Linked DNA regions of Saccharomyces cerevisiae S288C. The gene in region 1 interacts genetically with each later gene. Each region holds a gene or a part of one and is shown in the gene's direction. Other genes may lie near its edges.

Region 1 (7,599 bases):
ATTGGTCTACGATGTCAAGGGTAGATTCGCTGTCCACCGTATCACCGATGAAGAAGCCTCTTACAAATTGGGTAAGGTCAAGAAGGTCCAATTAGGTAAGAAGGGTGTTCCATACGTTGTTACCCACGATGGTAGAACTATCAGATACCCAGACCCAAACATCAAGGTCAATGACACTGTTAAGATTGATTTGGCCTCTGGTAAGATTACTGATTTCATCAAGTTCGATGCCGGTAAGTTGGTTTACGTTACTGGTGGTCGTAACTTGGGTCGTATCGGTACTATCGTTCACAAGGAAAGACACGATGGTGGTTTCGATTTGGTTCACATCAAGGACTCCTTGGACAACACTTTCGTCACTAGATTGAACAATGTCTTCGTCATTGGTGAACAAGGTAAGCCTTACATTTCTTTGCCAAAGGGTAAGGGTATCAAGTTGTCTATTGCTGAAGAACGTGACAGAAGAAGAGCTCAACAAGGTTTGTAAACATTTTAAATATTGTTATCTGCCCTCTCTTCGTCTTTTGTTTAATATAAATAAATTCTAAATCAACTATATATATGTATGTATACATATACATATACATATATCAATTATAAAAAAAGTGACAAGCATTATACATACAATTTTTCTTTTTTTTTCATGAAATGTGTAACCAGTGTGCCTCATTAGAGACAGGGACGAGAGAGCAAAGGTGCAATTTCCGCTGCAAATGAACTTTTTTAAACGATGTGCATAAATAAATAAAAAAAATGGCAGAATACTCTAAAATTGAGAAAAGTAATCCCGTAATAACTTTTTGGTTGAATCACCACCATAATGGGAGCAGTCATTGGTGGTCAAGTTCTCCATACGTAATCCTAAATCATTTATGATAGAATTTACGGCGTTTAATATATCGAGTTCCATAAAGGAATAGAAGATAACATGAACCATCTTCGACGGATCAGCTTCCTCTTCTTGCACTTTCTTCACCTCTTTACATTGCACTACATTGGGGATATCGTATTCTCTTTGTGAATTGTGAGGTGTGTCATCACCATGACACCCGAAATCGTCTTCTGTGGTGTAGCCTTCGCTTAAATTTGGATTATTGATGAAGGGACACTTCTGAAAACCGCCAAAATGCTGTTTGTGATGAGACGATGATGGTATTCCTAATGAGGCAATGACAGGGCCCTTGTTCAAATAGGTTTCCACCCTGGAGGCAACGACCAATGGAACTGTGATGAAGCGCCAATCATTATTGAATGGCATCACTATATACTCAGTATCCTTTGTAAATGGGCCTTTGTAAAGATCGTACCTGACAGAGCCAGTGTTAATCAAAATGAAACGACTCATCGAAGGTTCATAGTTTTTGGGAGGAATTAAATTGGGTAAAATCTTATGCGTGATCAAATGATAAAGATTCTCTTCGGAGTTTAATGGCCTTGTTGAAACGTAGTAAGTTTGAGGAATGTACCCCAGTTTCTCGTTCAAATTTAGTTCATGGCGCAGATCATTCACCAAACGAGAAATAGTTTTACCCTTTTTCGTTGAGACTGGAACATTCGAGTCATGCCCTAGTTTGCTCAAATGGTATTTGAAAGCTTCCTTGTTAAAGTCAATATACCTTCTTGAGAAAATAGGACTTTCGGCGTCCACAGGGTCAGTCATATTAATTGACAAGAATCCCACAGTTTCCGCAAATCTACCACTTTGTAAACAAGTAGATTTTGAGTCCAGCTGTACAAAATCCCTGATATGAGTGTGCCCTCCAAAATATTGTATAACAGTATTTGGGTAGTATTTCCTTATTAGAGCATGAATTTTGTGCATTTCACGCTCTGTAGGGTCAGTGGCAGGCAAATGACCAAAGACAATAATTAGGTCGATTTCCTCCTCTCTGTTTGTCTCAACCATATTTTGGAACCAGCTTTTTTGAGTTATTTCTTCCAATGGTGGTGTTACGATGGCTCTGTTATTTGCTCTTTGAAAACTAAACAAAAATGATAATGCCAGGACTCTTTGTTTCATTATGGGAGTCTCGAATGTAATGTATTTATTCCCGAAAGGAACCCTTGTTCCGTCATCTTCAATAAATTCTACGTTGCTGCAAACATATTTGTCTTTGAATTTTGAGGACTGAGAAGTTCCTCTATACTCTAGTATGGCACTTTCAGCTGTATATAGCTCATGATTACCTAACGTTAAAAGATCGTAATCCATCATGTTGAATATCTCCGAGCTTCGTAGGCCGGGGGGCCAAGTAGCATCACTCAAACCATTACCGTCTCGTTTGTCGCCAGTGTCGATGACTATTACGTCTCTGGACTGTCGTAAAATTTTTTCTCTAAGTATATCTACAAATGCAACGAAATCTCCCCAGTCAGCATCATAGTCGTTTTGTGATAGATGGGACCCCAACCAGCCATGAGTATCGGTTGTATGGATAAAATTTATATCCCCTATATGGATATCTCTTAATGGTACATCCTGCGACGGCGCTAAAACTGCCTGTTGTTGTTGATACGGCTTTGCAAAGATTAATCCTGTAAGAGCAACTAAACAGTGTACAAGCTTTAGTATCATTTTACACTGTTGCGCACACCTTTATTGCATTCACTCTCTTTGTTATTGCTGTAGTTCTTGTTGACGGCTTGAGGGGAAATAAGCTTATCGGCTTTTGCAATTGGCGGCTAGTTGGCGAAAGAGCGACTGATCGATAAGGACACTAAAGTAAAAAATAATATTAAAGATATACTGTAGAAATGTTTCATTATGGTTGTAATAATAATTTTACGTCATGCAATGGTTCAGATAGAAAGTTCGAGTTTGCTCTGGAACACAATTGTTTGTTTTCCTGCTTTCAAGTTAGTGCCATCTACTCTCTAACTACGGACGCCTTTACCGAAACCTATCTAGACAAATGTGTCTTTCTTGGAATAATATGAGCGTATATATGATAACGTTCGGGTGAACCTAATGCCTTGGTTCCTTACTCTATTTTGATCACTTCCTTTTTCGTTCGTTTATACATTTTGTTTCTTTTTACCAATATTCAACTTCTGAACACATAGATTTTAATTAAGATACAATTTGGCGAACTTAATTTGCAAACGATTTTACATGTAAGAAATTGTTGTACTGAAATCTTGATGTTAAAAAGTGTATGACTTTTACAACCTTTAGCAAGTATAATGGTTTGTGAAAAGAACCGTAAAATATAATCGTCATCTTAATAAGTTGCTAATGAATGATCACTGAAATTTCTACAGCAACAAAATTTATAACTCAAGTACAGTCGTGTTTTGCTTTCACTACGATCAATAGTATTATTATTACCGATGATTCCACTGTTAGTGTTATTATATTCAAGAGTGTACACTTCTCGCTAAGTAATGAAGAAATTTGCACATCTCATGTGTACACTCATTATACAAGATCACTTTCAACAAGCATTGAGTCACTAGAAAATTACAAATTATTTTCCCAGGAGGTGTAAAATGGCATATGTTTCTGCTGTCCTTGAAAAAAGTATGGAATAACCAGAAGCTTTGATAGAAAACGCCGAGGATAATACTCTGTGTAAAGCTCTAACCTTCATTCATTTTGTCACATTATCCACCTACTTGAATTCTAATTTAGAATACGAGTCGAAATAGTCTCGAAGAATAACTCACAACCTTTTTCCTATTATCTGTATGCTATACATGCCGCTGATTTTTCATTTTTTTCACTTTTAAGAGTAGAAAAAAGAAACGAAGTGTACATAATTAACTAAAGCCACTTGAAACAAATAATCAAAAAGTTCAAAACACCGATTGTTAAGAAAGATGTCGCCTTTGAGAAAGACGGTTCCTGAATTTTTGGCACACTTAAAATCACTGCCAATTTCAAAAATTGCAAGCAACGATGTGTTAACAATATGTGTTGGTAACGAGTCAGCAGATATGGACTCAATTGCTAGTGCAATCACTTATTCGTACTGCCAATACATATATAATGAAGGTACTTACTCGGAGGAGAAAAAGAAAGGAAGCTTTATTGTCCCAATTATCGACATTCCTAGAGAAGACCTCAGTTTAAGAAGAGACGTAATGTATGTCCTAGAAAAACTGAAAATTAAGGAGGAGGAATTATTCTTCATTGAAGATTTAAAGAGCTTGAAGCAAAATGTCTCCCAGGGTACTGAATTAAACTCTTACTTGGTAGATAATAACGATACACCAAAGAATTTGAAAAATTATATAGATAACGTCGTTGGCATTATAGACCACCATTTTGACTTGCAAAAACATTTGGATGCTGAACCTCGGATTGTAAAAGTGTCCGGCAGTTGCTCATCGCTGGTTTTTAACTACTGGTATGAAAAATTGCAAGGTGACCGTGAAGTGGTGATGAACATTGCACCACTTTTGATGGGGGCCATCTTAATAGACACTTCAAATATGAGGCGCAAAGTCGAGGAAAGTGATAAATTAGCTATCGAGAGATGCCAAGCTGTTCTTAGTGGTGCGGTTAATGAAGTGTCTGCGCAAGGTTTAGAGGACAGCAGTGAGTTTTATAAAGAGATAAAATCAAGAAAGAACGATATTAAAGGATTTTCGGTAAGCGATATTCTAAAGAAGGACTACAAACAATTCAATTTCCAAGGAAAGGGACACAAAGGGTTAGAGATTGGTCTTTCATCAATAGTAAAAAGAATGTCTTGGCTATTCAATGAACACGGTGGTGAAGCAGATTTCGTCAACCAATGCAGAAGATTTCAGGCGGAGAGGGGGCTCGATGTATTGGTTCTGTTGACTTCATGGAGGAAAGCTGGTGATTCACACAGAGAATTGGTCATATTGGGAGACTCTAACGTGGTACGTGAACTCATTGAAAGGGTTAGCGACAAGCTCCAACTTCAATTATTTGGGGGCAATCTTGATGGAGGTGTGGCGATGTTTAAGCAACTGAACGTCGAGGCCACCAGAAAGCAAGTCGTCCCCTATTTAGAGGAAGCGTACTCAAACCTGGAAGAGTGAAGGGAGATGTTATATATGCTTTATTTGGTTTATATATGACCCATATAGATATTTTTGTACACTACTATTTGTCTTGGTGTTGTTCAGGCTGTTCAGACTGCTCAGGCTGATCTTGTTGTTGTTGCTGCTGTCTTAACCTTTCCTGTCTTTGCTGCTCTTCTTCCATAGACAGACGCAAGGCCATTGCCAGTTCTGGGTCCATTGATGGGTCTACCCCGAAGTCCATAAATGTGCCATTGGCATCGGAATCACCGCCAGACCCACCAAAGGCGCCCATACCGGAGGATCCTTCTTCGAGAATTATGGGTGAAGATGCGATGTTCTCGTACAGCAGTCTGGGGCCAGGCGTCACAGTAAGCAAATGACTAGTTTCTTCTTGAGGGTTGTTCACTGCAGCTATGAACTCATCCAAAAGCTCCGTGTTCTGTTCAATCTCTCCAAAATTGATGATGTCCACGGCAACATTATTCTTTTTCAGTGTTTTTGCCAATCTGATCAATTCGTCTCGAGAATCACTTATTGGGCTACACACAAATGCCACAATCCTTTGATGTTGGACCTTATTCTGGCGATGCTTCAAAGTCAGCTGAGCGATCTGCAACGCAGTGGCCATATGCAGCTTACCCTCGATCTGCGTGTCGTGTAGTCCAGCAAGAATCTTCCCAAACTCGGCGGTAAACGTAGATAACACCCTGGGGTTGGCGCCAGCACCAGAGATAAGACCCACTGTATTCTCAGGATTGCTGTTTCTCTTGGCTTGAAATATGAACTCTACCGAGTCGATCTGGGCTTCAAACCTTGTCCTAGGAAAGTCGCCATTGCGAGAGTACTCTGAATTATCAATCACTAACACTGTAGCTTCCAATACCATTGTGCGGTTACTGCTGAGTTATTTATTGACTTTTCCCTTCTTTCTTTACGCTTTAAAAGTCTGATATAAGTGTGTATTTAGTTGTAAATTCCGGTGGCGAAAACCCGCCTGGCGGAAATAACCCGGCAGCTATAATGCCATATAACTTCAAGAGAATACAATTGTAAACAAGAAGTGGCAACAACATCAGCAAAAGGGCAGCTGCCGCACTCGGTTACGATGATACCGGCTCTCACTCCCGAAGAACGGCAGAAGTTGCGCAGCGCAATACTACATCGAATGCAGCTGGAACGTATGTCACCTCACCGCAACACTCTACCCCCAACCTTCACCCGCACTAATTACTAACACAACCTCAGTGGAAACAACAGAAAAACTGATCGAAAATATTAAAGAGGAGACGTTAAAGAAACTAAATCTGCTCCAGCAGCCTGATGCAACATCAGCGCCTCAATCAAAGGAACTAATCAGAGAGGTGCTTGAACAGGAAGGACGCCGTATAGAATGATTAGTTCGTATAATGGACCCTTTCTCGGTATTCGCAATGATGCACCTATTACTAATCAGCGGCCGATTTGTTGGTATTAAAGCAGCGTGTGGTTACATCCCCTTGTTGAATACATGTCTACTTAGCAGAAGGCCAGGTATATGGAAACATGCGTTTAATCAGTAAAGTTTTGGTGAAAACAAATTGCCTAGAGGTAGGTATGAGGAGGGCCCCACAATGGTATTCTCACTACTCTACTACAGCGGGCAATGCTCGTGTGAACAAGAAGGGCAGCAAAGTAGTGCCTGTGTTAACAGGGTTAGCACTGGCATCCATATTCGCGAAGAAATGGTATGACGATTCCCAGATCAAAAAGGCGGATGCCACCAGCGTTGCAGTGGACGCATCCATCTCTGCGTTCCCTAAGAAGATGGGCCCCCCACAGTGGCCCTTCTCCACGCAATATGAGCTGATTGGTAAGGGTGTACGTTGTGTCTCATCGATCACTTTCAAAGCATATGGTCTGGGCATATATGTGGCCGCTGAAGACAAACATCTGGTCTCTGAAGTACTGGACTCAAAGTTCCTGTCTCAGGCGTTCATCGACACTGCGGCACCCCCATCACCGGAAAACTCACATCAGGATAATTTGCGTGCGGCTTTGAACGATCCTGCTAAGGCCCCTATCCTGATTAATAACCTCTTAGACAGCGGAATCAGACTAATGTCCAAGAATACTCCGATAAAAGCAGGTTCCTTCAAGTTATTGATGGACGGCACCAAAAAGAGCGTCCTAAAGAACCCAGATTCTCAGTCTCAAGACAAAGACCGGCTGGAAGCTGGATTCCAAGAATTGCATGACTGTTTCAGGAGCGTAAAAGGACTTGTGGCTCGAGATGATGATTTTTTCATTGAGCTGAATAAGGACTGCTCTATGAATTTGTCTTACTACGCAAGAAAGAAGGATGAATTTGTGATATTGGGCACAGTGAAGGAACCCCTTATTGGAAAGCTCTTATTTGCCCACTACCTAGCTGCTGTGGATCCTCCTTCTCCGGAGGCTAGGAAGGAAGTAATCGATGCACTCGTCTCTCTATCTTAGGACACTTTCGCCGACTTCTACATACAATTACATAATACATACGCTGTTCCAAAAGCTGCACATATACTCTAATGATGTTTTTTTGAGTTTCCTTTCGACTCAATTTTTCTAGGAGGGACCCCTCAA
Region 2 (4,826 bases), on another chromosome or scaffold:
CATATGGAGCGGCCTCAATGAGTAGCAACGAGGGAAATAATTACTTGCTTCGGCTGCATTCAGTGATTAGTTAAAAAGTCGTCACCCTAAGTTTTTCTGTCGTATTTTAGGCATTTTCATTTTGAGGAAATATCGTATACCTGGTAATTGCCTATATTTTGAGATGAAGACTGTTTCTCATTTCTTTTTGGTCATCTCCTTGCAGAGCATTTGATAATATAGTAGTAATAATGAATTGTAGTCGATAAATGTTAGTTGATTCTCATTCCTATCGTATCGATAAGGAAACCTGAGAAATACCAAGGTTCAACGATAATGGCAAACATGCTTCATTAATCGGTATTCTTGATCAAATACTTCCTTGCCTGCCATACGGCATCCCTTAATCGCAAAATAGTAATATTCTTTCCAACTATATAACCGTTATTTTAACACACATTTCTCAAGAGACCCCTTTCTAGAAATGGCATGGAGTGGCAAGTATCTTCAAGCTATTTTTTAGTTGTTCATGTACTCCATAGAGTGACGGTTCTTGCAATTTCAACTAGTTTCAAGATAGTCATAAAAATTTGCAACCGAGCCCATTACTATATATATATATATACAAAAAATTTTAACATTAAACCTTGAGCTCGGGTTTTATCTCATACCAAGTATTATCAACCTTTGGCCGGTGTGTTCCTAATATGGTATCGATTTTCAAGTATACCGTGTAACATTTGGTTTTTGAATTATCCAGGGGTATTGCAAGGAATATCGTGGATCCTGCCATATGAAGGCGTGGATCTTAATTTATTCACCTTTACTGATCGTACCAAACGAAGTAAGCGTAGAAAGCTAACCAATTTCCTCTTGTTACAGAGAGAAAACTTTTCTTGTACAGTAAACTGAATATGCTACGTCGTAGACTTACAATGACGCCGCACTTAGGGATAGTAGTTACCTTGCTCACTTTACTGTCGTGATCATTACACCCGTACGTAATCGATGATCATTGCAGGAGAGGGGCACTTTGGTCTGACATCACTTTTTTTACCTAATCAAATAGATTGGCTTTTATTTGACAGATAAGGTTTATGATCTCTTTTTTCGAATGGAAAGTTCCATGCAGGCACCCTTTATCTCATTGTATTTAAACTACATATAGAATGGATGGAAACGTGGCAAGTCATATCAGGACGCTTTGAAGACTGATAATTAAAAACATTAAACAAGTTTCCAGATATCAGGAAGCGACCAAGCCAATATTCAGAACTTTCGTTTCGAAAAACACAGTAATATATTATTCTCAAAAATTACCACACTTTTTTTAGGCAAGGCTGCAAAATAATACCAGAAAAGCAGAGGCGGTTCTTAACTTCTGTGTAAATTCAGTGCAGGAGGACGGGTGTTGTGTTATTAACTTGCAAGGAAAAGAAAGTTTGTGTCTCCCCTTGTTCTACGCTAGCGAAATGGGTGTGTGGAAGAGTCAAAACTGAACCAAGAAAAAAAAAAAAAAAAAAACAAAACAGATAAAAAGATAAACAAAGGCAAGATCAAAAAGCCCTATCGTGAACGCTATCAAAGGACTTTTAAAATTCATAAATTAATAGTTCGTCCGTTGCCCTCTTGAATATAATAGAGATAGAGTTTAATACTTGCTTTTTACCTTTGCTTTTTTTTTGTATATCTCCATCTCAGCCCTAGGTAAGGATAGATACGAAGGGTTGTACAATCATGAAATTTGAAGATCGCATATTGAATAAATCAATCCCTGAATGGAAATTCTACAATATTAACTATGAGAAGTTAAAAGTAGCCATAAAAAAAGTAACGGCTTATGATTATGACAATCCAAATGATTCGGGCATGGAGAAGTTGTTGAATCAATGTTCAGTAGCCTTTGACCAGGAATTTCAAAATGTTAATTTATTTGTTTCTTTGAAAATAAAGGAAATTTCCACTCGTATTCTTTCTGTGGAATCATCAATAATCGATTTTTCAAAGGGCTTAAACAAAACTTCCAGAAACCGTTTCAACCTTCGTAAACTGAAAATCATCAACGCTCATGTAGACGATTGTAACTTTGAACTACAACTACTGTCAAGGTTTTTGATAATACAAAGGATTGCCTTGAGAAAGTTATTCAAAAAATTACTAAATGAATTTCCTCAAGACAGTGAAAATCCATTGACTGCAAGTGAGTATGTTACGTCGATCAGAAACTCTGAAAGTTTACGAAATGGACACGAAGGCATATCATTTATGAAGCTTGATTTAGATCCATATCTTTTAGAAGTTTCGCTAATTGTTGATGTTTTACATGATTTGGAAAATAAACTTGAAGATGCAACTGAGCCAGCAGTGGAGCAAAGATCCCTAAACCGCTCCGATGAATCTGCCCATACAAGTTCAAGTCCAGAAGCCAACAATTCTTCCTTGCCAGCATCTCCAAGGTCAATTCCGCTACTTTCAAACAAGAAAACTTCAAAAATGATTGATTCTTCGCTAGAATTCGATACTGCCCTCATAGATAAAGCAGAGAATCTAGGAAGGTTTTTATTATCGTCCGAGGACATAGAGGGACTGAAGTTCATGCTATTGAATATTGGTTTTAGGATAATTGACGATAGCATCATATCCACTTCAAAGGAGATTTTAGACACTACAGATAATATTAATTCTGCGGGCAACAAATCTATAAGATCAGCAAAGTCATTCAATGACTTACAACATACCTTATCCCTATCTAAACAGAAGAACATATTACCCTCTGCTGTACAATCCAATGAGAAGTACGTTTCTATTAGTATACTAGATACTGTCGGGAACGAAGGCAGTCCTTTACTACTTACTGATGATAATATAAATCAGCACCCAAACATGATAGTCAGCTCTACTGCTGAGGATACTTGTATAGTAATGTGCCACGTGGGCGGCTTAAGAAATCATGTTGTCACAAATGATCTGCTTCTAAGGGATGTAAAGAATATTCTTTCGGCCATGAGGAGTGGCAACGACACAAAAAATATTAGCGCTCTCATAAACTCACTGGATCCATCGCCAATCAGTAAGATCGCTTTGGAGTGGATTCAGTCCCATCGATTAAAAACCATTGAACCAAAGCTAGATTTTAAAAGAACAAGATTCATATCAGCAGACAATGGAGATATATACTTGATAGCTTTGGATGAATCTATCACTATTGGAAATGTATCTACATTACCCTTTCCAATTTTAGAAATTAAAAAGCTTAGTCGATCCAGTGGTCTTTCACAGACGGCTATTAATGAAGACAATAAGTTTAAACAGTTAATGAAATCAGTTGTTACAAATGAGTTTCAATGCAGCTTAATACCACCAGACTTAACCACATGGAAAATATGTTTAGAATTAGTACACTCAAATGAATTGCAAAATGATTTATTTCAACTTTTACTAAGAGATCAATATAAATTAAATTCCGATGATTCGCTATCACCTGATGAATTTTTCCAGCTGGGCAAGGATCGTCTAGAGGAAGAGTTTGACCTGACTGGGCCGATAAACAACTCACAAGGTAGTGTTGACAGCGGCAGAAGAGTTCGAATTCACAAAAAATCAAAGCAATCGGATAATGAAACTAAAAAGAAACCTATTAGGTATTGGAATGAATTTGATGAACAAGAAGAGGATAATTTAGACAATGCTTTTTACATTGATACTAATGGAAGCAGGAGTACAACAGATAACGAAGAATCCTTACTTTTGAGAAATTCTCCGCCTGATTATGGGTTTATTTTGTTTAGCCGGAATTTCATCAACCGCACATATGATTTTTGTGAGAAGTTACGAAACTTGATTCGCCATGACAAGAAAACATCGCCAGATTTGTTTCAAAACTCTAAGCATCCGCATTGTTCATCAACTAACTATGGTTCTGTTGCGTCATTTGGTTCACAATCAACTTCAGCGTCATATGATGACGTTCAAAGGTACTTACAGTATCAACAGCAAGACATAGAGGACTCACAATCTATCTACGAATATAGGCATGACGAAGTTGTTACATTTTTATACTTGTCTGCACTGCTAACATCTTGCATTATGGCAAGTGTATGTCTGGGAATCGTTTTATCCTTGTTTCGCGGGCAAAGTAATAATGAGATAGATTTAGAAATTCAAAATATTCTCATAGCCATTATTATCATTTCCTTACTGGTTTCCCTTATTTTGATCTGTGCGTGCCTGTTGTTGTTATTTAGTCGGTTCACTTTGGCGCCAATCTGGCATTATGTTGGTTGCTTCACAATGTTTTTCTCAGTTACTGGAACAGTGTGCTATGGTATGATTGAAATTTTCTTTTAATTATTTTGGACGATAAAAGTTTTTCATGTGTACAGTCTATATAAAATATGCATATCATGTGGTTACATAAGAAGAATGTTAATCTTGTTTGGAGATTTTGTTTTTGGAAACTTCGCCATTGCGAAGGGTGTTGCAAACTGAATTTCTGTTTAAGTTTTTAATTAATAATCCTTATTTTGATCTTTTCTGATGGCCGTGTTTGAACGCATAGTATTGTGAATATAAGCGAAGTGAAAACCTTTACACCTGCGGCAGATGCCATATTACTGCGCTAGTGGTGAATATTATTAAGCGTGCTATCAAAAAGAGATGAAAACGTGCTAACTAAAAAGGACTCAGATTCGTTACACACTTAGCCTCGAATAACGATCAGGATCTGTTCTAACCACAACTCCATGGACAGCATGCAATGTTTGGGCTCTTGATAACGTCCCCCCATCAGTACTATCGTATATATTAAAATCGTCTGCAAAGCTCGAAGCATCGTCGGGGATTGAACA
Region 3 (4,149 bases), on another chromosome or scaffold:
CAAGCACAGATTTCCTGTGGAACTTGAGCTGTCCGCCGGGCTTGCAAGGCGTTATGTGGTGGTCTTCGAAGATCGAGGACGTATTGGCAGGTGAAGTTTTCAGCAACTCTGCAGTAATAGCCTCCTTCGTACTCGTTGGCGTAGAGGTAATTTCCAACGCAGCGTCTGAGTAAGATATCATAGACATCGAATCATTAGAGTGAACTTTGCAATGGCTGGTGTTGCCACTGTTCTTGTGCTTTTTAGCAGCCTGCCTTTTGTTCTGAAACCATATTTGAACCGATTTTTCGGACATATTACATTGCTCGGATAACTCTATCCTTTTAGCCTTATTGGGCGTGGGACATTCGTCAAATGCTGTTTGCAATATCCCAAGCTCATATGATGAAGTTCTTCTTCTTTTCCGACGAGCTAACCGAGCATTGTCTATCTTAGGCTCCTTCTTTGGAAAAGTTTCCTGTGAGTGTGTAATAAAGGCAAATGACCTTTTCTTTTCTTTTCTTGTGGTTGGTGTGAGAACAGCCTTTGCAGCAGATAGAGGAGTAAGAATATTAACTTTTTTATAAGAGTGCATACTCTGAGGTGGCTGCTCTTTAGAACAGACTCTGACCGTTGGCGTGAATGGTGAATGAGAGCTCAGCTTCTTGGGCTTGGATAAAGGCGTCATGGAAGTGGTTACACGTTGTGATAAGAAATCCACAGCCTGTGGACTTTTCCTTTTTGGCCTTTCCTCATCGCAAGGACTTTTATAAATATTTACCACTGGTCTCACAATGTGCGCAGATGCAGCTAATGGTGGCAACCTGATGTCACCTTGGTCATCACTAGGGAAGTTTGTATTTGGCAAAGTATGCAGTTGGAAAGGCGAATTAGAAGTACCTGTAATAATGTTTGGTAAAGAAGGAAGCACGGTATTTCTGCTTTCCATGTTATATATATACGATATTTTGTGTTATTGTTATTTCCCTACAAATGCTAGTTACACTGGCTGGCGAGGGTAAAGAAGAAGATAATACGAATTATAATCTACGTTGGCAAGATCGGGAGGACGCCATATATATATTTATAAACATTCATCTGTGTGATCCAGATCAAACAAATAAACAATGAGTAAACGAAAAATCTGGCTGAAATGTCTCATGCTATTAACCCAATTCAGCATTGATATTAAAAATACCGACGTATCCCTGCACGGAAAGCGCGTCTGATGTTTACCATTCCGGGTTTTTGGCGCGCGTCATGTCCAAATTAGGACGTGGTTTATAGCCGAAAGAGGAAATGTGATCTGCCCACCTGTGCGGCCCTTCTCTGAGCGTTTCGAGCAGGATGCATAATATGCTCCCTTCGTACGGTAGAGGACAAATATGACCATTACCCGACTATTGAGGACATATGTCGTTATTAGAATTTAGCACCTTTAAAGTTATATTGCACTTTTAATTACCAAGATTCATTTGAGAGTGTAAAGGGTTTTATGGTAGAATACAAGTCAGAAGAAGGCTAAAATCAACAGATCAATATTTTTTTTGGTTGTTGGGTTGGAGAATTATAAAGTTTTTTTGATCTCCTTGTCTCCAGCTATTGTTTTCATTGAGTAGGGGTAGAGCTAGTTAGCTGCTTTTCGATGGTTGTAGTGGGTAAGAGTGAAGTGCGCAATGTAAGCATGAGTAGGCCGAAGAAGAAATCATTGATTGCCATCCTGTCGACCTGTGTTTTGTTTTTCCTCGTGTTTATAATTGGTGCTAAATTTCAATATGTTTCCGTTTTCTCCAAATTCTTAGATGACAGGGGGGACAACGAGTCACTTCAATTGCTCAATGACATAGAATTTACAAGGCTAGGACTGACACCTAGGGAGCCAGTAATTATCAAAGACGTAAAGACAGGGAAGGAGAGAAAATTACATGGACGGTTCCTTCATATTACCGATATTCATCCTGACCCTTATTATGTGGAAGGAAGCTCTATTGATGCAGTTTGTCACACAGGAAAACCAAGCAAAAAAAAGGATGTGGCACCCAAGTTTGGGAAGGCAATGTCTGGATGTGATTCTCCCGTTATTTTAATGGAAGAAACTCTGAGATGGATTAAAGAAAATCTTAGAGATAAGATTGATTTTGTCATTTGGACGGGTGATAATATCAGACATGACAATGACCGGAAACATCCAAGAACAGAAGCACAAATTTTTGATATGAACAATATCGTTGCTGATAAAATGACAGAATTATTTAGTGCTGGCAATGAAGAAGATCCAAGAGATTTTGATGTGTCTGTCATTCCAAGTCTTGGAAACAATGATGTCTTTCCACATAACATGTTTGCACTAGGACCAACTCTACAAACTAGAGAATATTATAGGATTTGGAAAAATTTTGTTCCGCAGCAGCAGCAAAGAACTTTTGATAGGAGTGCTTCATTTTTGACTGAAGTTATTCCAGGGAAGCTTGCTGTCCTGTCAATTAACACGCTGTACTTATTCAAGGCCAATCCGTTAGTTGACAATTGTAATTCAAAAAAAGAACCAGGTTACCAACTTTTACTTTGGTTCGGTTATGTATTAGAAGAACTAAGGAGTAGGGGAATGAAAGTATGGTTAAGTGGACATGTACCTCCAATCGCAAAAAATTTCGATCAGTCGTGCTACGATAAGTTCACGCTATGGACTCACGAATACAGGGATATAATCATTGGAGGATTATACGGTCACATGAATATTGACCACTTCATCCCAACGGATGGTAAAAAAGCTAGAAAATCGTTATTGAAAGCCATGGAGCAATCCACTCGTGTTCAACAAGGAGAAGACAGTAATGAAGAGGACGAAGAAACTGAATTGAATAGAATTCTGGATCACGCTATGGCGGCAAAAGAAGTTTTTTTAATGGGAGCGAAACCATCTAACAAAGAAGCATATATGAACACCGTCCGCGACACATACTATCGGAAAGTGTGGAATAAGCTGGAAAGAGTGGATGAAAAAAATGTTGAAAATGAGAAGAAAAAGAAAGAAAAGAAGGACAAAAAAAAGAAAAAGCCAATCACTAGAAAAGAGCTCATTGAACGCTATTCCATTGTGAACATAGGTGGTTCAGTCATTCCAACTTTCAATCCTTCCTTTAGGATCTGGGAATATAACATCACCGACATAGTGAATGACTCCAATTTTGCAGTTTCGGAGTATAAGCCCTGGGATGAATTTTTCGAGTCACTAAATAAGATTATGGAAGACTCTTTGCTAGAAGATGAAATGGACAGCAGTAATATCGAGGTTGGGATCAACCGCGAGAAGATGGGCGAAAAGAAAAACAAGAAGAAAAAGAAAAATGACAAGACTATGCCAATTGAGATGCCAGACAAATACGAACTCGGCCCTGCATATGTACCGCAGTTATTCACTCCGACGCGTTTCGTCCAATTCTACGCCGACTTGGAAAAAATCAATCAAGAATTACATAATTCATTTGTTGAATCTAAGGATATTTTCAGGTATGAGATAGAATATACCTCAGACGAGAAACCATACTCAATGGATTCGTTAACAGTAGGAAGTTATTTGGATCTTGCAGGCAGATTATACGAAAACAAACCTGCATGGGAAAAATACGTCGAATGGTCATTTGCGTCTTCTGGATATAAAGATGATTAAGTTAATATACACATAGAAATGCATATCATTCTTCAATTACAGTTTCTTTTTCTTTTGTTACACTATTCTTTCAAGTCAATTTCATAATAATACAAAACCATCTTTCTTATCATATATAGGGTGATGTATTTTTAATTATTTAATAGGGCCTAGCGTTATCGTGCGAAGATTAATTATTGGCATTTTTGAAATACTCCTTGGAATCTTTAACGTCAGGTTTGATGGTGGCGGCTCCTGGGGTCCAGTTGCATGGCAAAACTGTACCATTTTTGTCAGTCCACTGGAAACCTTCGACTAATCTCAAAGCTTCATTGACGTTTCTGCCAACAGATAAATCATTGATAGTGATATGTCTAATGATTCCCTTCGGGTCGATTATGAACAAACCTCTTAAAGCTATACCTTCTTTTTCAATCAAAACGCCATAGTCTCTGGATAAGGAATGATTCTTATCAGCAAGCAAAGGAACTTTAACTGGACCTAATCCACCGTCTTTTCTG

The links. Genes that interact genetically often act in the same process or in processes that back each other up.
Region 2: of PPX1 (region 1) and VTC5, changing one suppresses a phenotype caused by changing the other (phenotypic suppression), as found in Saccharomyces cerevisiae (one study listed by BioGRID).
Region 3: of PPX1 (region 1) and PPN1, changing one enhances a phenotype caused by changing the other (phenotypic enhancement), as found in Saccharomyces cerevisiae (one study listed by BioGRID).

Annotation. Positions count from the first base shown.
Region 1 is NC_001140.6:497,364-504,962, reverse strand, and holds PPX1 (exopolyphosphatase), read left to right. Parts: upstream 1-3,819; coding exon 3,820-5,013; downstream 5,014-7,599. Other genes in the region: 40S ribosomal protein eS4 RPS4B, read left to right, coding at 1-487; SMN1 (Smn1p), read right to left, coding at 767-2,575; proteasome regulatory particle base subunit RPN10, read right to left, coding at 5,078-5,884; NBL1 (borealin), read left to right, coding at 6,104-6,176, 6,244-6,392; AIM46 (Aim46p), read left to right, coding at 6,541-7,473. UniProt on the Saccharomyces cerevisiae protein: Polyphosphatase (polyPase) involved in the degradation of inorganic polyphosphates (polyP) that is able to degrade a range of chains from three to several hundreds of residues in a highly processive manner.
Region 2 is NC_001136.10:620,396-625,221, forward strand, and holds VTC5 (Vtc5p), read left to right. Parts: upstream 1-1,716; coding exon 1,717-4,326; downstream 4,327-4,826. Other genes in the region: ILT1 (Ilt1p), read right to left, coding at 4,671-4,826. UniProt on the Saccharomyces cerevisiae protein: Regulatory subunit of the vacuolar transporter chaperone (VTC) complex.
Region 3 is NC_001136.10:1,361,254-1,365,402, forward strand, and holds PPN1 (endopolyphosphatase), read left to right. Parts: upstream 1-1,624; coding exon 1,625-3,649; downstream 3,650-4,149. Other genes in the region: YHP1 (Yhp1p), read right to left, coding at 1-928; thioredoxin peroxidase TSA2, read right to left, coding at 3,819-4,149. UniProt on the Saccharomyces cerevisiae protein: Catalyzes the hydrolysis of inorganic polyphosphate (polyP) chains of many hundreds of phosphate residues into shorter lengths.